Linked DNA regions of Callithrix jacchus. The protein of the gene in region 2 purifies or fractionates together with the protein of the main gene of each other region. This does not show direct contact. Links are inferred from orthologs where the notes say so. Each region holds a gene or a part of one and is shown on either strand. Other genes may lie near its edges.

What was found.
Region 1: the proteins of RBM45 (region 2) and FAM120A purify together in Homo sapiens (co-immunoprecipitation; 3 studies listed by BioGRID and IntAct, with this or other methods). This does not show direct contact. The link is inferred for Callithrix jacchus from reciprocal best matches to the Homo sapiens genes RBM45 and FAM120A.
Region 3: the proteins of RBM45 (region 2) and KPNA1 purify together in Homo sapiens (co-immunoprecipitation; 3 studies listed by BioGRID and IntAct, with this or other methods). This does not show direct contact. The link is inferred for Callithrix jacchus from reciprocal best matches to the Homo sapiens genes RBM45 and KPNA1.

The regions. Positions count from the first base shown.
Region 1 is NC_133502.1:71,098,976-71,106,890, reverse strand, and holds the start of FAM120A (constitutive coactivator of PPAR-gamma-like protein 1), read right to left. Parts: upstream 4,724-7,915; 5' UTR 4,471-4,723; coding exon 3,997-4,470; intron 1-3,996. UniProt on the Homo sapiens protein: Component of the oxidative stress-induced survival signaling. May regulate the activation of SRC family protein kinases. May act as a scaffolding protein enabling SRC family protein kinases to phosphorylate and activate PI3-kinase.
Region 2 is NC_133507.1:51,304,071-51,311,504, reverse strand, and holds part of RBM45 (RNA-binding protein 45), read left to right. Parts: intron 1-3,991; coding exon 3,992-4,114; intron 4,115-5,774; coding exon 5,775-5,901; intron 5,902-7,434. UniProt on the Homo sapiens protein: RNA-binding protein with binding specificity for poly(C). May play an important role in neural development.
Region 3 is NC_133516.1:80,573,374-80,580,807, forward strand, and holds part of KPNA1 (importin subunit alpha-5), read left to right. Parts: intron 1-3,393; coding exon 3,394-3,525; intron 3,526-4,634; coding exon 4,635-4,723; intron 4,724-5,092; coding exon 5,093-5,192; intron 5,193-7,135; coding exon 7,136-7,299; intron 7,300-7,434. UniProt on the Homo sapiens protein: Functions in nuclear protein import as an adapter protein for nuclear receptor KPNB1. Binds specifically and directly to substrates containing either a simple or bipartite NLS motif.

The DNA.
Region 1 (7,915 bases), on a different chromosome or scaffold from region 2:
CTAACCATGAAAATTCTAAACCATAGTCTAACCTCACATTCTTCCACTGACTTAAAGCATGAACGCCATTTTATGTAAGAACATTATTTAACAAAATTCCAATGGAAGCAAATTCAGAAGATCTGAAGAACTTCATTATAAACCCTTACACTGATACTGGTGAAATAGCAAAAACATTTATGAAAGCTCCAGTGACTTCACGTCACTAAGATTTTAAAATAAACAGAAGTCACTCACTTAAGTTTCAAAGGTTATAACGACCCAAAGCACACAAGAGGAAAGTGTCCAAGTAACTAGCTAAAGCCAAGTTCAAATTAGGCTATTTCAGGACCTACACAAAACTAGTCAATACATAGGCCCATGTATTATTATTATTTTCATTGTTCTGGCTCTCTTACCATGTAGACCAACTTCTAATGCTTAAAGAAATACCATTACTACTACTAAACAAAAAATAGAATTATTACTCTGTAAAAGAAATACTCTCTAAATCAAAAAAAAATTTCTCCTGGCCAGGCACAGTGGCTCACACCTGTAACCCCAGCACTTTGGGAAGCCAAGGCAGGTGGATCACGAGGTTAGGAGTTCCAGACCAGCCTGGCCAACATGGTGAAACCCTGTCTCTACTAAAAATACCAAAATTAGCCAGGCATGGTGGCACCCATCTGTAATCTCAATGGGAGACTGAAGCAGGAGAATTGCTTGAACCGGGGAGGTGAAGGCTGCAGTGAGCCAAGGTTGTGCCAGCCACTGCACTCCAGCCAGGTGACAGCAAGATTCCACATCAAAAAAAAAAAAAAAAGATTTTTCTAGGCAAGGGTAACAGGAAGTTATGCCTTTCTGCCAATGTACAAAACACTAGAAAGCACCAATAAGATCGTTCAGTTTTTATAAATGTCTCATTTACCCAATGTTACATATACTGAAGTGTTCATGTCAATTCCTTTGCCAGTGATTTTAACTTAATTCTAAAAAAAGTTATCATATGATAAAATTAACGTGTTTCTATGAATAGTTTTGATTTTTATGTATGGTATCATCACCACCATCAGAATACAGAACAGTACTATCACTCCAAAAAGCTCTCTCTGCTGTCCCTTTATGCATATATCCTTCCCCTCCTCTACTCTCACCACCACTGAATTGGTCCCCATCACTATAGTTTTATACCTTTTGAACCTGGTTTCTTTCACTCAGCATAAAACCTTAATTAAAGATTGATGCGAGTAGTTACCTACACCAGCAGTTCCTTCCTTATTATTGCTAAGTAGTATTCCATAGTATGGCTATACCATAGTTTAACCATTCACTTATTAAAGAATACTTTGATAGTTTCTAGGTTTTGGCTATTATGAATTAAGTTGCTATAGACATTGAGACCCAATTTTTGCATGAACAAAAGTCTTCAAAATACCCCGGATCGTATGATAAATGTGTTTAACTTAACTGACAGTTTTCTGGAGTGGCAATGCCATTTTGCATTCCCACAAGCAATGTGTAAGGATCCAGTTGCTCAGCATTCTTGCTAGCACTTGGTTTTGCTTTTTTTTTTCTTTTAGCCATTCTAAGAGGCCCACAGTGATACCTCATCATGGTTTTAAATGTTTTAACCATTTCATGGGCATCTTTTATTAAACAGTACAGTTTCAAGACCTTAAACAGATAATGCTGAATATAAATTTTTCTGACTCAAAATCATCCTTACAGAACAAACACTGTACTACCCTCAGGGACTAGTGAAGTACATAGAGTTGTGTTCCTTTTCCTAAAATAGCCCCAGAATTATTTCTGCTTTTTATAGCTTTTTAAATCTTCTCTCTTGTCACTTCTTGCTATTAACGGTGCTCCTGCCTCTGGAACACTCTTCACTCTCTTCTCAAGTTGAGTTTAGAAAATAGATAACTAAGCTTGTTAGAATTACATCTAAAAAGAGGACAGCCCGTGAGTGAGAGAGCGTAAAGGATTCTTCAGTGGGGAAAGCAAAGGCCCCCAAACCCCCCGCCCCCGCCAACCCCACATCATTGTACCCAAACTTCCTGACATCTTGTTTGGTTACTGAGAAATTTCTAGTAGCTAAATCTCTTAGGCACTTTTCAAAAAGGTAAGGTGACCAGCTAAGAAACCACCAGGTAATTGAGTCATTACAATATTCATTTTGTGCAATGCACACTATAACATGATGTTAGATCAATAAATAAAAGCTTAGCAAAAGCAAAATATAGACAAAGTTATCCAGTGTCCAGAAACCTAAGTGGAAAAGATGATCTTAAATGTAGCTTAAATCTAGTTTCCAAACAGTTACACATTGGTCAGAATTCTGAGCACCTACTAGGTGTGTAAGGCATTCAAAGGGGTGCAGAGATAAAGAAATCATAGAATTAAAACAGTTCTTTCACGATACAGTGACCATATGCATACATACTAATTCTAATCCTAAGTAATAGTCAACAGTGTTCCCTTGAAAGTTACTTGACTAGTTAAGTAGATAGATGTGCGGTTATCAAAGGCAAGTAAGTACAGCTCATCCTGTCTTTTAAGCAGTCTTTTCCATTTCTGAGCAAGACTAAACTATGAACACTTTTACGCTCTATTCGGGAGGTGGATCACTTCCGACAAATGGCAGCACCTTACTTCCCTGAGCGCCCCAGATTTAAGAGGCAGGCACTTCCTCTCACACGAACTTCCCTGTGGACTGGCAGCTGTGTGTCTGCCAGGCGCAGGGGCCAATCGGGACTCTGCCGGCCGCCTCCACCCACGGCTTAAACACCATCTCACCAATTGCAACCAGATCTTGGGTGGGACTTCCGCTATCATTTTAGGCTTAACTACCACCATCTCGTCGCGGGGCAGTGGGGGCAACCGCGAAGACGGAATTTCACAAATTTTCAGCTCCAGCAGTTTCAAGGAAATGTCAAAGAATAACAAGATGGAAGATAGAATGGCAAGAGCTAAGGCAGCAAAAAGCCTCCCCAAATTTTGTTTTCAAGAAAATCAATGAAAAAAGCAAGCAATCACAACGTGAAGTCCAGGATCATGTATGTACTTATCTTCACAGTCACTGCTGGGTCCTGAAGTTCTCCTTTGGCCCAGTGCCAGCTGCGGAGCCCTCTGCCAAAGGGCCAGAGGAGGCCGGTGATGTAGAGCTCTGGTTACCCACCCGTCAGGGCGCCGCTGAAGGTCACTGAATACTTACTGTGCACCCGAAAAATAAATCCTGCGAGTTCACGCCCGCGTGGCTCGGCCCCTGACTTTGAGCGACTCCTTTCGCATGGGATCTACAAAACTGAACTGCCTTAAAGACCTCTTTCACACGGACTTGAAGTCACAGAACTGACAAAATCCCATCCTGTCAAAGTGCACGGTTCTTTGAAATCTTAACACAAAAAGCCATAGAAAGATCTCTAAACACCTCGTTCTAAGAGGAATACGGGCAGGGCACTAGCCCTTAGACACGTCTCGCTGTCACCGGGCTAACAACATTGGCAAGGGCGGCGGCGGCAGCACTGATACTTGCAGCCCCCAAGGGCCCCGGCGAAACCCCCTCTATTACTCTGTATCCTGCCTGCTTCCAAGATGAACCTGTTGCTGGGAAAGAACAGGCTAAATTAGAAAAGGGAGTATTTTGTCAAAGTTAAAGGTGAGTGATAGCCTGCCCGCCTCAAAAAGGACGGGAAAAACTACGGATATTGGGGAAGATGACACTGCTGCCTCCGAATTCTGGTCCCGGGCGGCTCTCTTCCAGCCCTCAAGTGTCCCCACGCTGCCGTGGACCCCGAACAGGGACAGCTGGAGGCGGGCTTGGGCAGCGCGCGGCCTGCACCCGCGGCCATCCATCTTGCGGCGCGGCCCGGCCCGGCCCGGCTATCCAGAGCCAGGGCTGGGGGAGCTCGCCGCCCCCCGCGCCGCCACGGCCGGGCGACATTCTGCGCCCTGGGAAAGGGGATAAGGGTGCGGCGCGGCCCCCGGTCCCCGGCCCGCCCGGATCCCCAGCCTCACCTTGACGTGGAAGCGGATGAGCGCCAGGCGGATGCAGTGGGCCATGCAGACGGGCGGCAGGAACCAGACCTTGGGCGGCGGGGTGCCCTTGTTCTGGACATGGCTGACGATCTGCTGCGCCGTTTGGCGCTCGTTGCCCTGCCGCTTGACCCACTCGTGCAGCCGGGCCTTCTCGAGCGCGCCGTTGAAGAAGACGAAGAGCTCGATGTTGCCGCCGAAGCAGGCCTTGGCCAGCGCCGCCAGGTAGCCGAGCATGTGGTTCCACTGGCCGCCGCTGACCCAGTCGGTGTAGAAGCCGCCGTAGAGGCGGTGCAGGCAGTTGTCGGCGTCCACCAGCAGGCGCAGCGGGGTCTGCGGGGGCCGCTGCCGCCCGCCGCCCACCAGGCTGCCCCGGGCCAGCTTCTGCAGCTCCACCGGCACCACAGCGCTCGGGCAGTGCTTCTCGATGTAGTCCTGGAAGCCCTGCACGCCCATGGCGGCGGCGGGGGCGCGGGCGCGGGTGCGGGCGGGGGGCGGCGGGGCCGGGGGCGGTGGGGCCGTGGCGCGCGGGCGGGCGGGCGGGCGGGGGCGGCGGCCTCTAGGGGGGACTGGGGCGGGTCGGGGGCGCGCTCATGGCCGCCGCGGCCGCCATGTGCTGCCGCCTCCCAGGGCCATGTCTGGGGAGGGATCTGCCGCCGCCGCCGCTGCCGCCGCTGCGAGGCCGAGGCCGAGGCCGAGGCTGAGGGCCGGGGCGGGGCGGGCGGGCGGCGCTGACGTAGCGGACCCGCCCGGCGCGGACGCCGCCCAGACCCGCGCAGGCCCGCCGGCAAGCAGGCGGAAGAGGCGGCGCCGGCGGGACGCGGCTCCGGGCTCCCGGAGGCGGTGGCGGCAGAGGCGGAGGTCCGGAGCCGGGCAGGGGCGGGATCGAGGAGGCGCCTGGGCCGCAGCAGGCCGCGCCTGGAGGCTACAGGCCGCCCGCCCGCCGGCCTCAGGCCAGTCTGCCGCCGCTCCCCTCCCTGCGCTCTGTCGCCGGCAGGGCCAGAGAGGCCGCCGCCCCCGCCCGGTGTTACTCGGGCAAAGGGAAGCCGCGAAGCAGGTCCCAGGGAAGAGCTCGTCTTCTCCTGAGGGAAGCGGCGACAAGATGGCGCTTTGAGGGGGAGCCGGAGGCCGAGTCACTCTGCTGGTCGGGACGCCGCCTTTCTAACGCCACCTTCGGCTCGCACCACTCCGGGCCTCCTGCCGACAAGGACTGCGGGGTCCGGGGGAGCGGGATGCTGGACGGCCACGCCTGTCTTCTTGGAAAGAGCAGGAAGGAGCGCGGGAGCGCGATTCTGCCGCAGGTGCTCATCCCAGCAGCTTCGGGCTCTCGATTGTTGTGATTTTTACACCTGTGACAAATGACATGGCCAAACACACCATAATGTCTGAAGGTACAGGTAGTCCGAAGTGCCTCCACGTCACGGAAGAGACTGTCTTGAGATCACAGGTCTGTTGAAGCGTGGGAAAGCCTGCGTTCGGTTTAGTTCCCACTGCGGAATGGCCCGACTGAAACGTGCGTCTTTGCAGTGGCTCGCGCTGCTCCTCTTAAGGAGAGGGATTTGAATCTTGTTGATTTAGTAGCAGCTTCTGGAAGGAGGTCGATTACGTGAATTCTGTTCCAACGTTCTGTCGTAATTGCTTCTAAAACGAGGTTGATACTGTATGTATATTAGACTTGCATAAAACATTTTCAAAAAGAGATTGTCTTTCAGAATATAAATTTAGAACCCAGCACTCTAAAAGTTTTAAAATACCGCTTTTACTTATCTTCACCTCTCCATCTGTTCTTTTTCTGGAGAAGCCTCTGTAGAAGAGCAGGATGCAGCCCACAGGCTGTGGCCCTGAGACCCGCTGCCCAGCACATGGATCCTGCACGCACACGATTTGGCCAAAGAAGCCCCCATATTCCCGGTGAAAAAGGCAAGTTGGGTTTTTCTGCTTTCTTTTCTGATATCCACCTCAAACGCAAGCCAGTGTCATATACACATAAATGCTGCTGATATTTTAAGAAGTTACATTTAAAAGCAGACTGACAAGTTATGCCACTCACCTATACACAAAATTAATCACAAAGCCGGCATGACATGTTATCTAGAATTAATACAGGCTGGGCACGGTGGCTCACGCCTGTAATCCCAGCACTTTGGGAGGCCAAGGTTGGTGGATCATTTGAGACCAGCCTGGCCAACATGGTGAAACCCCATCTCTACTAAAAACATAAAAATTAGCTGGGCGTGGTAGTGTGCGTTTATAATCCCAGCTACTCGGGAGGCTAAAGCAGAATTGTTTGAACCCAGGAGGTGGTTACAGTGAGCCTAGATGTCGCCACTGCACTCTAGCATGGGCAACAGAGTGAGATTACGTCTCAAAAATAAAAGAAATAATACAGTTAGCCATTAAAAAGCAAGACAAAAATCCAGAAATATCCAAATTTCCTTCTGTAACCCAAGGCAGGTTCACAAAGTGAGGGGCAGTAGTTGTAATTACTCGTATTTTCTTTTCTTTTTTTTTTTTTTTTTTTTTTTGAGATGGAGTCTCGCTCTGACACCAGGCTGGAGTGCAGTGGCGAAATCTCGGCTCACTGCAACCTCCGCCTGCCGGTTCAAGTGATTCTTCGCCTCTCCGGAGTAGCTGGGACTGCAGGAGCGCACCACCACGCCCGGCTGATTTTTGTATTTTTTAGTAGAGACAGGGTTTCACCATGTTGGTCAGGATGATCTCGATCTTTTGACCTGGTGATCCGCCCTCCTTGAACTCCCAAAGTGCTGGGATTACAGGCATGAGCCACTGCGCTTGGCCATCACTCATATTTTCATTTATAACATTGCATTCCATGCGTTTACCTTTTCTTTAAACACTCTTGCTTATAATTTTAAAAAAATGCATTAGTGCCAGTATCTGGAATTCTGGAAATAAATTTGTTTTCACCTTATTACATTATAGAGTTCTAAAGTTCTGGAGTCAAGCCCCCAAAATCCATCTTATGATGAATCTGTGCCCTTGCAAAAATGTTTACCCTATTTGAACCTTGGATTTTATCATCTGTAAAATCAACATATTAATAGTACTTAACATCCCAGGTTATTATAAGTATTAAATCAGGTCATCTGTGTGCTTACCACACAGCAAATGCTCAATAAATGTTGGCTTATATAGTTAGTTCCAGAAACTGTATTTGTACAGACTTAACACTTGAGAACCTAGACCAGTTATTGTACTTTTGAAAAGTTTAAAATTCATTATTGTATCATAACACATAAAACTCAATTATCTTTACTTGCCCTATTTAGCTGTGTGTTCTTTAAAAATATATCTATTTATTGAGTAACTATTGATGGCAGGCAAAATGTTTGACAAACATTTATATACTCTGCATCCGTAACTCAAATTAAGGGGTTGGTTGAAGTTAAATTGCTTAAATATTGAGGTAAAAATAAACATCTGTATTTAAAATTTAATAAAAAGTTACATCTTCTTGGGGGTCACAATATGACAACTGATGGTTGGGGACTTTCTTTTTCTTTTTTCTTTTGCATTTATTTTATTTTTCTCTTCAAGAGAAGTCTTGCTCTGTTGCCCAGGCTGGAGTGCAGTGGTGCGATCTCAGCTCACTGCAAGCTCCCTCTCCCAGGTTCAAGTGATTCTCCTGCCTCAGCCTCCAGAGTAGCTGGGATTGCAGGTGCACACCACCATATCTGGCTGAGTTTTGTGTTTTTAGTAGAGACTGGGTTTCACCATATTGGGCAGGCTGGTCTCAAACTCCTGACCTCAAGTAATCCGCCTGCCTTGATCTCCCAAAATGCTGGGATTACATGCATGAGCCACCGTGCCCAGCCTAATATCTTTAATTAATATGTTACTTAGTTGAGGTATCTAACTACCAGCAATAACAGGTGAGTTT
Region 2 (7,434 bases):
TAATACTTAAGTGCAGGTGTATAAAATGGCCACTTTACATATTCATCACATTTTGTGATTTTGAAAATTATTTTAAATGAGCTCTGTTTCTCAAAGTGTCAATAGTATGTATTTGGTTCTTGACTCTTTCTGTTACTCCAACTTTTCTTTGAAAGCAGACCAAAGGAAACTGCCTTAAGAAGTGCCAAATCGTTGACATAATGACACATGGCAGGAAGGGTCATTTTGAGGGTTGAGTTAATCTATGCTTTTAGCACACTGCCTCGCACACAGTAAGCCCTTGTTATTGATCGGTAGTAGCCAAGATGTCACTGCTTACTCTCTGTGACCTCAAATCAGGACTCAATCCTGAGAATCTGCCAATTGCTTAAATTGTACCCTTCATCTGCCCCATGTAAGTAGTTGCTGTGTATGTTATTCTGCTGGTACTTTGCACAAAAAAATATTTTCTCAATTAAAAAAAAATGTTTTCCAAATTGAGAATGGTATTAATATGGACTTATATATAAAAAAAAGGACTCAGAGATATTTCAGTCTCTGGAGGTCTTGCTCCATCCACAAAAGAGGAGCCTGGGAATATACCAACAACACAGTAAACAATCCCTCCCACTTCTCCACACTTCTACGAAGTGTGTCAGAATAGTACAGCAACAAAATTAATTGTAGGGCTCTAGCATACAGGATCAGGAGTTGGCAAACTTTTTCTGTAAAGGGCTGGCTAGTAAACATTTTAGGCTTTGTGGGCCACATACAGTCTCTGTCACATATTCTTCTCTGTTTTTATAGTTCTTAAAAACTGTAAAAACAGTTCTTTCATTGTGGGCTATACCAAAAATGGAGTTGTAGTTTGATGACCCCTGTACTAGACTGATGAATTTCATTGCTGTCCAATTATGACTTTAGTGGAGAGGGTTTTTATATTTTTAGTATAACATGGCCACTGACCAAAAAAGTGCCATATTTGAAACAGATGGACCACCTTCCCCTGATGAATATCTACAAGAGAAATTAAAGGCCCAACACTGAAATGTACCCTTTCTTTTCACCACAGAGAAATTAAAGTTCTTGTCCCCAAAAAGAATTAAACTTTACAATTTTGTTTTTCACGCTTTTGACTATTCCGTTTTAGCCAGAGTTTGTTTCGCTAGAGTGCAGTGGCTTGATCACAGTTCACTACAGCCTCCACCTTCCAGGCTCAGGCAGTCCTCTTACCTCAGCCACCCTCCTGAGTAGCTGGGACTGCAGACATGCACCACCATGCCCAGCTAATTTTTGTTTGTTTGTTTTAGATGGAGTTTCGCTCTTGTTGCCCAGGCTGGAGTGCAGTGGCGTGATCTCAGCTCATTGCAGCTTCCACCTCCCAGGTTCAAGCAATTCTCCAGCCTCAGGAGTAGCTGGGATTACAGGTGCCCACCACCATGACTAGCTAATTTTTGTATTTTTCATAGAGACAGGGTTTCACTGTGTTGGTCATCAGGCTGGTCTCGAACTCCTGACCTGAGGTGATCCACCTGCCTTGGCCTCCCAAAGTGCTGGGATTACAGGCGTGAGCCACAGTGCCTGGGCAATTTTTTAATTTTTTGTAGAGACAGGGTCTCACTTTGTTGCCTAGGCAGGTCTCAAGCTCCTGGACTCAAGTGATCCTCCCATTTTCAGCCTCCCGTTTCAGTTGTGACCCACCACACCCTGACAGCCTAGTTTCATTCAGTTGCTGCAGCTTGAACCATCTTCCACTGGAACACGGTTGTGTTGTTTTCAGCAGTTCCAGTTAAATTAATTCAGCTTCAATATTCTCATGTACTTTGCTTTGCAAAGTTACAAAGGATCTATAAGACAAGAATATTATCATACCAGGCCTTGTTGGGGAGAAACCCCACAAGAGCCAAGGCGAGAGTCTGAGACCTCAGTCTGTTCTCATATAAATATTGAATTAAAAAAGAATTAGCGATAGTTACATAGTTATTCCTATAATAATCACATAACTATTCACATGTAATCATAAATATATACATTTATACAATCATATAATCTTTAATTTTATTAGTAAGTCTCAGGTCATGAAGTATGGAACTGAAGTGGCATTGGGAAAGAAGTGACCCTGAGGCAAGATGCTCTAAGCCCTCCTTCACGCCCGCATAAGGGCTGCTGGAGGGCGCCTCGGCTATGCAGCAGCGCCAGCGCTGTGAAAGTGCCCACTGTTTAACCAGCTAGGGAAGGAGATGTCCAAAATGGCTGAGACATCTCCTTCCTCGGGGGAGTTAGGAGAAAACTCCGCTCTTCCAAGCCCTTGTGGTAGCCCTGGCAGCTATCAGGGAGGCCCCCGGTCATCCAGGGGCTTAATTGTCTCTATGTGATGCTGTGCTTCAGTGGTCACGTTCCATGTCTACTTTCATGTTCCGCTTCTGCACTTGGTTCCTCTCTTTAAGATAAGAATTAGTAATAGTAACATAAATGTTAACATCCCTGATATTCTTGACAAATATGAAAAAAGTTAGGTTTTCTCCTTGCCTCGGCTTCTTGAAAATCCTGAGCCCGTTTCCAGGACATGTGATTTACCTGACCCTATCACTGACCACCATTACCTCACCCTACCTATCCTGCCCCCTGCTTTGTACTCAATAAAAGTCAGAGTGTCCAGGCACTCGGGGCCACTGCCAGACTCTGTACTTTGGTTGGCAGTGGATGGCTGGGCCCAAACTCTCTTTTCTCTATCTCTGTGTCTTGTGTCTTTATTTTCACTGTTTCTCGTCCCCACATCTGTAGAGAGGGACTCACAGGACCCTATAAGTCCTCAGTCAGAAAATATTGTCCAAGTAAAAGTTATTCTGTGACTAGCTATGTTATCTGGTAGAAAGGGGGAAACCTAGAAAATAGAAGAAAAAGTTCTTGGCTTTAGTTTTTCAAGAATGATTCTTATCTAGAGCGTATGAACACCCATAGTCTATGAAAGTAAAAATTAACGGGAGAAATCTACCATGAGGAGGTTAATTATTTTACATATGTTCTACATATAGACTGACTCCTGTATCAGAGATTTGAAACATCTCAGTCCTCTGAAATTTAAAAATTTGTGCTCTGATGGCACTTCCAGTCTCATCTTACCTGAGGTTCTTTTTTTTTCTCTAGTGTCTTTGCATATACTTAAAGTTTCCCTATTTGTATTTCCCTATTTACCATTTATTACTGGTATCAGCTGCAAGACTTTCTAGTAGGCCATTTCTTGGTTACTGAATACTGTACTCATACAGTGCTTGACATAGTTTAGATTTATTGAAGGAATAACTAGAAGTAGACTATGTAGGGATATGTCTCTAAAGTTATGGTTTTCTTAGTTGCTGCCACCTACTCTGGAATTTCGTAGGTTCCAGTTTTCTCATGCTTGAATGATACAGAACCCCCTTTACCAGCAGTAGATCAGACAGCAAGATATAGAGCCCCCTTTAAAGGAAAAAGAAACAAACAACGGAAGGGCCCTTCTTTATGGTGTTTTAATTAATTGTATTTCATTTTTTCAAATTGCTCTAGCTAAAAAAAATGCAAAAGTAGAAATATGTTTGGGAAAAACACAATGCAGAGATTGGTATTATCTCATATAAAAAAGTCATTGCAGTCCCAGCGCAGTGGCTCACACCTATAATCCCAGCACTTTGGAAGGTCAGAGTGGGAGGATCACTTGAGCCCAGCAGTTCATGACCATCCTGGGCAACATAGCAAGACCTCATCTCTACAAATAATAAAAAATTAGCTGGGCATGGTGGGGTGTGCCTGTGGCCCTAGCTACTTGGGAGTCTGAGGTGGGAGGATTACTTGAGCCTAGATCATTGAGACTGCAGTGAGCCATGATCACACCACTACACTCCAGCCTAGGTGGCAGAGCAAGACCCCATCTCAAAACAAAAAAACACAAAACTCATTGCAATAAAAATTGCTTTTGAAAAAATTTAAGAAGTGGGAAAATAACATTATTTTTGGGGTTTTGTTTGTTTCTTAGGTTTTCATTGCTCAGTCCCGATCATCTGGAAGTCACCGAGATGTTGAAGACGAAGAACTTACAAGAATCTTTGTTATGATACCAAAGTCCTACACAGAAGAAGATCTGCGGGAAAAATTTAAGGTACTTATGTTTTCTAACCAGTTAGCATATGTGATAACTCACAGTCCTACATAGGTTGTGTTGGTACTAAATCTGAAGTGTTGTTTGAATAAGGTCAGTAGAGTAGTCATGGGGAATTACGTAACTTTTCATAATTTTCAATCTACTCTTTAAATATTAAACCTAGCATAAATTAGTTTTTAAAATTACAGATTATATAAAATCTGAAAAGTAGTAATTGTAGTCTTCCCCTGCTTTATTGTGACAGTAGAGAGTCACAGAAATGAAGTACAAAGCTCAAAGACTTTTAAGTAAAGTCACAGCTAGTAGGTGGTAGAGCTGTGATTTTAAACCCAGACTCTCGGAGTCTGGAGCCTGTTCTTGGTCTTTAAAATTTCAAAGCACTCTCTTATCACTCCCCTCTATTGCCTGGCATGTGGAGGTGAATCAGGCAGGCCTGAGTGTGTGAACTGTGTTGTCTAGTATTTGTAACAGGCCTATGGTGTGTTGATATGGTACTACTCATTCACAGAAAGTCTTGTTCTTTGAAGAATTTTCATCCTAAAATTGGTCCTTAGAAGGAGTTACATATAAAGAAGAAAACTAAGTACAGCTCTGACCTATATAAATGAAATTCAAAGATCATTTTAAGTCTTTTTAGCCATTAACTTATGCAATGATAAGCTTTCACAAGAATTATTAAAAAGCAATTTTTAAATTGTTTTGAGTTGTAGTTTTTCATCTTTTTTCTACTAGTCCTTCCATGAATTGGGTGGCAAAAAGCAAGAAAGAAAATAAGCAGTAAAAAGTAATTTTTGAACTTCCTCTGCTATCCCAATTGAGAATTCAGAAAAATACTTCAAAAATAACAAATACCAAAAATGTGTATTCATGCTTTCTCCAGTAATAAGAAAAATGTTTTTTACCTTAAATATTTATAAATGTTTATCGTTTCCTGAATGAACAAGTATGACACTTTAATGTATAGTAATTAAGTTGCTAATTAATTACTTAAGAATTTGTAAAATAAATATTAATGGTTTATATTTCATATTCATTTACATTAAAAGTAAACACTACTGCATGTTTCTCAGAATAGTAACTTTCTGAGTGAACCAGTGTATTTTAAAGATATCCTTTGAAAAGCTGTCCTTCTAAAGAATACACAATCATTTATGCTCCTGTTAGAAGACAGACAAGTAGTTATAGCTAATGTTCTTTGAGTGTTTAGTATGTTTTAAGCCCCATGTAAGCACTTCACATATTTTACTTCAGTTAACCCTTAAACAACCCTGTGAGGTGGATACTACTGTTTGTTTCTTTTAATAGATAAAGAGGTAGGTACAGAGAGAATAAATAAACTGCCTAATTAATAAGAGGGTGATCCAGAATTTCAATCTAGAAAGTTTAATTCCAGAGCTCTGGCTCTTAACCACTTTTGAGCAAGATTTTGGAGGTATCTGGACCATGTACAGATTCTTACTTTTTTTTCTGTGGCTTTGTCCCTCTGATTTCTCTAAACCCCAGCTTCCTCATCTCTGAAATAAGCAGTATAAAATATGCAGATATTTTATACTGCTTACTTCTTTGCATGCAAGGGTCACATACAAATTTTTGGTTCAGTAGTACTCTGTTCAATTAATTTCAAGTCCCCTAAGATAATGTCTTTTAACTCTCTTAGGTGTATGGAGATATCGAGTATTGCAGCATTATTAAGAATAAAGTCACTGGAGAAAGTAAAGGTTTGGGCTACGTACGATACTTAAAACCATCACAAGCTGCCCAAGCAATAGAAAACTGTGATCGAAGTAAGGATGTGTTTGTTTAACATTCTTAAAAACTTCTGTAAAAAATTCTGATTATTCTAAATAACTGAATTTAATACTGGTTTTTGCTAATAACCAGATCTGGTAATGTAATTTTAGTAGTAGGTATTTGAATACATGCAGTCCAAGGATGAAAAATACCTTGGGGCTATGATTAAACATTCATTGAGGCACTACCTTGAAATAAGAGCAACTACTTTAAGTTAGTGAAATGTATACTTTGGTTATTATTTGCAGAGGATTTGGGGTTTTTTTCATGTATTTTAGAATTTTAAGTATTAAAAATTGACTTACCTTTTCAGGGTTTTTAAAATATCTTTATATTTGTTTATATTTGATCTACACCCCAAAGAGTATACAGTATAACTAATAAACATATAGGTTAAAAATAAGATTTATAAGACGTGCTAACATAAGTAATTAATATAGCTAGGGTTAATTTCAAGCTAGTGTGACATGAATTTGATCTTCTGATGTTGCTGTATATATAAAGCATAAGAATTTTAAAGAAGTCATGGAGAACATTCTTTCTTGGTATACTTCTAGTTAAGTATATTGACCTTTAGAAATTAGATGTGGAATAATTAAATTACAGGATGTTAGGACATTATAAAAATCTATGTGTACTGGAAAGAATTACTGTTAATCAGTAGAATTCTTAGATATCCCTAAGGTACATACCAAAATTTTCTCTTAGATCCTTCTAAATTCTCATTTAGCTAGTACTAATTGAGTACCTGTGGTATACTCATCAGTATGCTAAGTGGAGGGATACAGATGAAGTATATGGCAGCCTTAGCATTTAAGGAATTTATAGCTATATTGAGTAGCCAAGATCTAATAGGCAAAAAAACAAATAAGGAATAATGGAAGAACTTTTTTTTGAAGGCTCTTTGAAAGCAAGAAGTATGTCTTTTTTGTCTGTCACTCCAAGTATCTAGTACAATATTAGGCCCTCAATAAAGATTTATTAAGCTCTCTATAAAAGTAACTGCCATTTGTAGTAGACTCAATAAGAATTTGCCAAATGAAAAAATGTTTGTAAGTATATGGTAGAGTCTATCAATGGTGAAAAACAAATGTGCTGGATGAGCATGGGAACACATGCGGAGAGGGTAGGACTTATGTCTGGTGTTGAGTAGGCAGGACAGAAGATGACAGCAGTGCTAGCAGAGGCACAAAGCCAGGAGTAAACATGTCTTGCTTAGTGCCATGAAGGCAGCTGTCTGAGTAAAGCACAGTATTTCTGTTGAGACATTTTGAGACACAGTTAACTAGGTACATTGGAACCATATATGGGAGGTTAAGGAAAGTTCAAGGTTAGTCCAGTTTAGGATTCTTTTGTAGATTGTTTAGAATGATTAAAGAAAGAACAGTTTAACCACACAGATTTCCAGAGAAGAATTCAAACTGGCTGACTTTATCCTTTTTTAAGCCACCGAATAATGTGAAGAAAACTGAACCCTCCATGTACACATAAATGCACAATAAGCATTTTGTTTAAAGTTTCAGAGG
Region 3 (7,434 bases), on a different chromosome or scaffold from region 2:
TTCAGGCAATACCATTTCTTAGATTTTTTTTTTCAGGTTACTGATTTCCTCGTGAATAACAGGGTTGCTTACTTTAATTTTTTGCATAATGTGTTTACCATCGATTGTAGGCATTCCCATTTTACAACTATTTCATGTTAAATTCTAATCTAGCACCCAAGGCTGAAACATTTAGAAAAAAAACAAAAACAAAAATAGATGACGAATTTTATTGGAATACAGCTTTAAAGTACAGACTATGATGAAAGAGAAGTTATGTAAAGAACATCTAATTTAAAAATATATATACATAAATATGTTTAACAGTTACTTCTTCTATCATTAACAGAGGCCTATACTCAGGGAAATTCTGTTTTTTACTCCCCCCTCTCATGCATATATGGATACACGCATAAACATATATGCATATCATACATGTGTAGATGGGTGTAGAAAATTTCACAAATACAGCTTGATTAGCTTTCACAAAATGAAAACAGCCCAGTAATCAGCACCCTGTGTATGTGTTTATATTGCCTTATTAATGCATGAATATTTTCAGTGGCTTTCTGGTTATAGTTATTCATCTCTTTCTGTACCCAGTAATAGCAAAACTGTTTTTGATTTTCATTCCTGAATCACCTTTGCACTCAGAGGTTATCATTGTGTACTACTTAGTGATGAACATAACCGGCATGTTATTCTTTTGTTAAGATGTTCCAATTTCTCTCTCTCTTTTTTACCGTCTGTATTTAGGCTATTCACTTGTTTTTCATTTTCTTAGTTATTATCACTCAAATTGTTTTGCTTTTCTGTTTTATTAATTTGCGTAGCTTCTTGAATTCTCCCTCATTTCCCCTGAGACTTTGGTGCTAAACTCAAAATAGCAGTTTGAACGCTGGCACCAATTAGTATTCTAAGTAATTTTTTCTCACCAATAACTCTGTACTATATTCCTATGTACCTAGGTTATTATAATTTCTTTTGCATCAAAATCTCACTATAATCCTCTTTTTCTTTGTTATAGATGGCATGTATGCTGATCTTATTTTTTTCAGGTTACTTTTCCTTACAGTTTTCATTTCTTTGACTTGATATTTGCGTATCTGTTGTGTTTATTCAACTTTCAGCCTGCCTTGTGGTGGGACAGTTTGATTTTATACTTACATCATATGACTCTGGTTTACAAATTAATTTTCCTTGTCGTCAAAAGAAAACTACATTTTAGGTGAACTTGTTTTTTCTTTTTTAGTATAAATAATCTGGCATACTGTTATTTAAAATTTCTTGCACTAGATATCCAAACTACAAGCAATTGAAATATTTCTGTGCCAGCATTACGTATTAGAGAGGAAACTATGACTGGGCTTCATAATGTATTAGATTGAGTGGCTGGAACTTAGCCGTTCTCCTTACCTGTGTAACATTACTTGAATCATTAAATTGTTGGATTTTTTTCGGATAGTTTCCTCATTTGTACACGAGAAAAGCCAGATACCTTACCTCTCTGGGTTGTTGTAGGGATCATCTGCGAGTATGTGAATAGTGCCTTGAGTATATAAAGTATGGTACAGATGTCAAGTTGTAATTTAGGCGTACTGAAACAGTCTGAGTGTTGCTTTCATTAGGAATTTAATTATAGAGATGAATATGTGAAGAGTTTTTATTTCATGATATTTGGGGTTTAATCTGAAAATTCAGAATTTATGTCATAACAAAAAGCGACCAGATGTGGGCTCTTTAACAGAAGTGCTTCTCATCTGGGCCCCCCTGCTACTACTAAACCACCTTACCTCAATCATTATGTCACTTTAATAGTTTTCTTTGGAACATCCATTTATTATGTTTCTTCTGCTGTTAATTTTCTATCGTTATATATCTTTGAATGTGATTTGATCAGATTGCCCATTTCCTCTGACTTTGTCTATTCCCAAAGATTAATGAATTTAGTTTTCTACCTGTCAGCTGCCTTTTAGTTAATCTCAAAGCTTAGAGGAATCACAGGTCATTTAATTATGACTTGTTATTTTCTCTGATTTAAAGGACATACCATGGATTTTTTTTTTCTGTGTATGTGCTGTATTAAGTAGAAGACAGAAAGGTGGAAGAAACAACCTGAAATGTAATTAAAAACTCTTAACTAAATAGAAAAGAGTTAATTCTCAGATTTCTGAATATTAGTCTAAATAGTCAATTTAGTGTTAGAGATATATTTGAGTAGTATGCTCTATTTTTTGTTGGTCATAATTTTCTTTATGTCTTCTGTTTACCAGTGCTGTAATGCTGCATATCAACCTTTGGTCAATTTACCTTCGTTTTTTTCAATCCCTGTTAAGAATGCTCTTTTAAAAAGTCCTATCTCTGTACTTTGGTTTGGATTTCTCTCATTTATGGGAAGCTCTTATGCTTTGAAGTTGTCATTTCTTTTCATTATATGCTTAACTCCTTTGACCTGCTTAACATTTGATACCTTTTGCTTTTCTCACTGTGCCTGTACATTATGTTTTACACTAACATTTTCTCCCCATTTTACTTTGCCCATTCTACAGAAGTTTTAAAGTTTTTTTTATTAGATAGCATGCATGGTACAGGCCAAAAGGCACATAAGGCTTTCCACTGATAAGTGTTTTTTTCATCCTTGTTCCCTAGTTATCATGACCTTTCCCTGCAGCCAACAAGTATTTAGTTTCCTATAACTCCTTCTAGAGATAATCTGTGCAATTAGTAAGTTAATGCATGTATTCCTTGTAATACTTTTAGAAAATGTGGGGCCGGGTGCGGTGGCTCACACCTGTAATCCCAGCACTTTGGGAGGCCGAGGCGGGTGGATCACGAGGTCAAGAGATTGAGACCATCCTGGTCAACATGGTGAAACCCCGTCTCTACTAAAAATACAAAAAATTAGCTGGGCATGGTGGTGTGTGCCTGTAATCCCAGCTATTCGGGAGGCTGAGGCAGGAGAATTGCCTGAACCCAGGTGGCAGAGGTTGCGGTGAGCTGAGATCGTACCATTGCACTCCAGCCTGGGTATCAAGAGCAAAACTCCGTCTCAAAAAAAAAAAAAAAAAGAAAGAAAATATGGTATAATGTCATATTAATGTACACTGTTTGCATTTTGTTTTCGTTTATATCTTTGCAGATCATTCCATATCAACATTTGTAACACTGTCTCATTCTTTTTATGGTGTCATGTCCACTCTATCTTGAACTGAAATTTCAGACACCCTGAATATTCTTCTAGGTTGAGGTGTTTCTTCTGGAAATTCTTTTAAAATTAATATAGTACTCAACTGATAGGTTATGTGTAAATAATGATCTCAGAATCTTTTTTTACATGTTCAGAAAGAGTTACTGTTATAAGTAAAAAAGCTTTACATTCTCAAAAGATAATGAAAATTATTTTTATCTTTGTAGTTTGAATCAGCTTGGGTACTGACAAATATTGCTTCAGGAAATTCTCTACAGACCCGGATTGTGATTCAGGCAGGAGCTGTGCCCATCTTCATAGAGTTGCTCAGCTCAGAGTTTGAAGATGTCCAGGAACAGGTAAAAATGAAACAGAAAGAAGCAGGTGAAAGAATAACATTTTTCCCTTCAATCATATTCAGGGATTGAGTTTTACCAGTTGGCTTTGATAATCTATGGATTGTCACAAAGGAGTGTTCTAGAAATCTAGTCTTAACCAAATAGAAAATTTCTTAGTGAGTGTAGGCAGAATTTTTCTTAGACACATAAAATAATCTTCCCCTTCCAAACCTGACATTCTTTAAGCCCTGAGTATGTACTTTCTAAACCTTGTAAGCAGTTACTAGTAGAGGTTTTTGCTTGTAGAAATTTCCAGTGTTGAAAGTAGGCCAGGCACTGTGGCTCACACCTGTAATTCCACCACTTGGGAGGCTGAGGTGGGCAGATTGCTTGAGCCCAGGAACTCAACCACTCAGGGCAAAATGATGAAACCTCATTTCCACCGAAAAAAAAAATTAGGTGGGCATGGTGTTGCACACCTGTGGTCCTAGTTACTTGGGAGACTGAGGTGGGAGGTTCACTTGAATGAGCTCCAGGAGGCAGAGAGGCTGCAGTGAGCTGAGATCACAGCACCACACTCCAGCCTCGGTAACAGAAGGAGACCTAGCTCAAAAGAAAGTAGTAAGTTTTTATCACTTTTGTGCAGAAAATAGTTTGTTTCACTGTTTTATTTTGTAAGCCAGAAAAATACCTTTTTTTTTTAATGGAGTCTCTGTCACCCAGGCTGGAGTGCAGTGGCACGATCTTGGCTCACTGCAACCTCTGTCTCTCAGGTTTAAGCAATTCTTGTGCCTCAGCCTCTTCAGTAGCTGGGATTACAGGCATCTGCCACCACACCCGGCTAATTTTGTATTTTTAGTAAAGATGGGGTTTCACCGTGTTTTACTCGATACTGGGTGACAGAGCGAGACTCCGTCACCAAAAAAAAAAAAAAAAGAAAAGAAATTGGTTCTTTCCTTTAATAAACTGAATACCTTTAGTTTATTATACACTTTAGAATATTATTTATCTTCTTCCTCCAACCACACAACTGTTTCATTTGACTCCCTGATGAATGTGTTACTGTGATATACTGGCATCTGAAAGAATTAGAAGGGAGTACATAACTTTTATTAATGATTCTTTCACAGGCAGTCTGGGCTCTTGGCAACATTGCTGGAGATAGTACCATGTGCAGGGACTATGTCTTAGACTGCAATATCCTTCCCCCTCTTTTGCAGTAAGTTTCTTCTTCTTCCTTTTTGACAATAAAAACATAAGAGATTCCTCAGAAAGCAGTGCATCTCTGGAAATCATTTTGGATTTTCTGTTGTTATTTTTCATTCCAGACATTTTCTTGTTTAGATCATTTCCTCAGAAAAAAGGAAAAAACGAGGGGAAAAAAAGATCATTCCCTTAAGCACTCTATCTTTCTCTCATGTCAAAATTCTGAATTACTTGTATCAGAATTAATGAAGTTTTAATGTTCTGGGGAAAAGCTATCTGAAGACATCTCTTTATCAAAAGTACTATTACTTAGTATTTATATTATGTTTTCAGAGAATCAATGTCTATTATATAGTTTACCATTGTACCATCATGCTTATAGGTTATTTTCAAAGCAAAACCGCCTGACCATGACCCGGAATGCAGTATGGGCTTTGTCTAACCTCTGTAGAGGGAAAAGTCCACCTCCAGAATTTGCAAAGGTAAGGACTGTGCTTTTGGGACATTGGCAGAAAAAATGCAATTATAAGAGTATAGCAACCAATAGTAAGGTGAACAGAAAGATAATTTTTGTTAAAACTTAAAATGTTAGAATTTTATCTGTTTTTGGAGAAACAGGGTTTTTGTTTTTTTTTTTGGTTCCCTTTATTATTTGAAAAGCAAATTTAAAGCATAGCTTGAAGATGCACATTTATGTAGGGGCTGCAAATAAATAAAAGCATAGCATAAAGGGAGAATTTGTAAAGCTCATTGAAATGAGACTTCATACAATTAGTATACTGTATTAAGAGACTCTTCAGTTCTCCTAAAACAGTGGTTCTCAAAGTATAGTCTGGGAGTCCATGAGATTTTTTTTTTTTTTTTTTTTTTGCAGTAGGTTTTAGGGGAACAGATCAGGTGTTTGGGTACATGAGTAAGTTGTTTAGTGGTGATTTTTGAGATTTTGGTGCACCCATCACCCAAGCAGTGTACAGAGTACCCACTGTCTAGTCTTGTATTTCTCACCTACCTCTCATCCTTTACCCCAGAATCCCCAAAGTTTATTGTATCAATCTCATGCTTTTGTGCCCTCATAGCTTACATCCCACTTATGAATGAGAACATCTGATGTTTGGTTTTCCATTCCTGAGTTACTTTACTTAGAATAATGGTCTCCAGTTCCATCCAGGTTGCTGCAAATGCCGTTGTTTTGTTTCTGTTTATGGCTGAGCAGTATTCTATGGTATATATATCACAGTTTCTTTATCTACTTGTTGATTGATGGGCATTTGGGCTGTTTCCATAATTTTGCAATTGTGAATTGTGCTGCTGTAAATATGCGTGTGCAAGTATCTGTGCACGTTTGTAGCAGTGGAATTGCTGGATCAAATGGCAGATCTACTTTCAGTTCTTTAAGGAATCTCTGTACTATTTTCCATAGTGGTTATACTAATTTACATTCCCCTTTTCACCACATCCATGCCAACATTTATCGTGTTTTTGTTTTTTTGAGACAGGGTTTCGCTCTTGTTGCCCAGGCTGGAGTGCAGTTGTGCAGCACACTGCAACCTCCACCTCCCAGGATCAGGCGATTCTCCTGCCTCAGCCTCCTGAGTAGCTGGGATGATGGGCACACACCACCATGCCCGGCTGATTTTTGTATTTTTAGTAGAGATGGGGTTTCACCATGCTGGCCAGGCTGGTCTTGAACTCCTGACCTCAGGTGATCCACCCACCTCAGCCTCCCAAAGTGCTGGGATTACAGGCATGAGCCACCACATCCCGCCTGTTTTGATTTTTTGATTATAGCAATTCTTGCAGGAGTAAGATGGTATAACATTGTGGTTTCAATTTGCATTTCCCTGATAATTAGTGATGAGCGATGAGCATTTTTAAATGGTTTTTGGCTATTTGTATATCTTCTTTAGAGAATCGTCTGTGTCCTTAGCCCACTTTTTGATGGGATTGTTTTTTTCTTGCTGATTTGAGTTTCTTGTATATTTTGCATATTAGAAGAAACAGGATTTTTTTTTGGTAGTTGTTTTTAATTTGGAATCATTTTTCACTGAATTCATCTTAAAACCCTAGCATTTTTGGTCTAAAGTATCTAAAATACAGAATTTCTTAGCTTTCACATTTTTGAAAGTTTCTTTACCTCTTTAGTCCACAAAGAATGTGTTTTGACAAGGAATCTCACTCCAAGAATTGATGTATATAAAACTTTATGATCTGAAATTAATTTCCTTGGGCTCTGACTACAAATTAGTGCAAGACCACTGACAGCATTGTTAAAGATGGAACTGCCACTTAGGTACTTGTTGTTTCTTGAGAAGTGTAAATCACTCAAGAAGTCACCAAATTTATGCCTGGCTGCCTTCTTGAGTATCTCACCTCACTTCTGGCTTCTAGTCTGTTGGATTTCATAATCATCATTTTCCTTTTATAGGTTTCCCCATGTCTGAATGTGCTTTCCTGGTTGCTGTTTGTCAGTGACACTGATGTACTGGCTGATGCCTGCTGGGCCCTCTCATATCTATCAGATGGACCCAATGATAAAATTCAAGCAGTCATTGATGCGGGAGTATGTAGGAGACTTGTGGAGCTGCTGATGTAAGATATGTTTTAGAAAGTGTGTTCACTTTTTTTCCCTTGGTACTAGTTTTCTAGCTACTAATACTTAAATATTAATTGATTGTATATTATATTGGTTTATTGTGCTTTGGGCTACTATTTTTTGTTACTTGT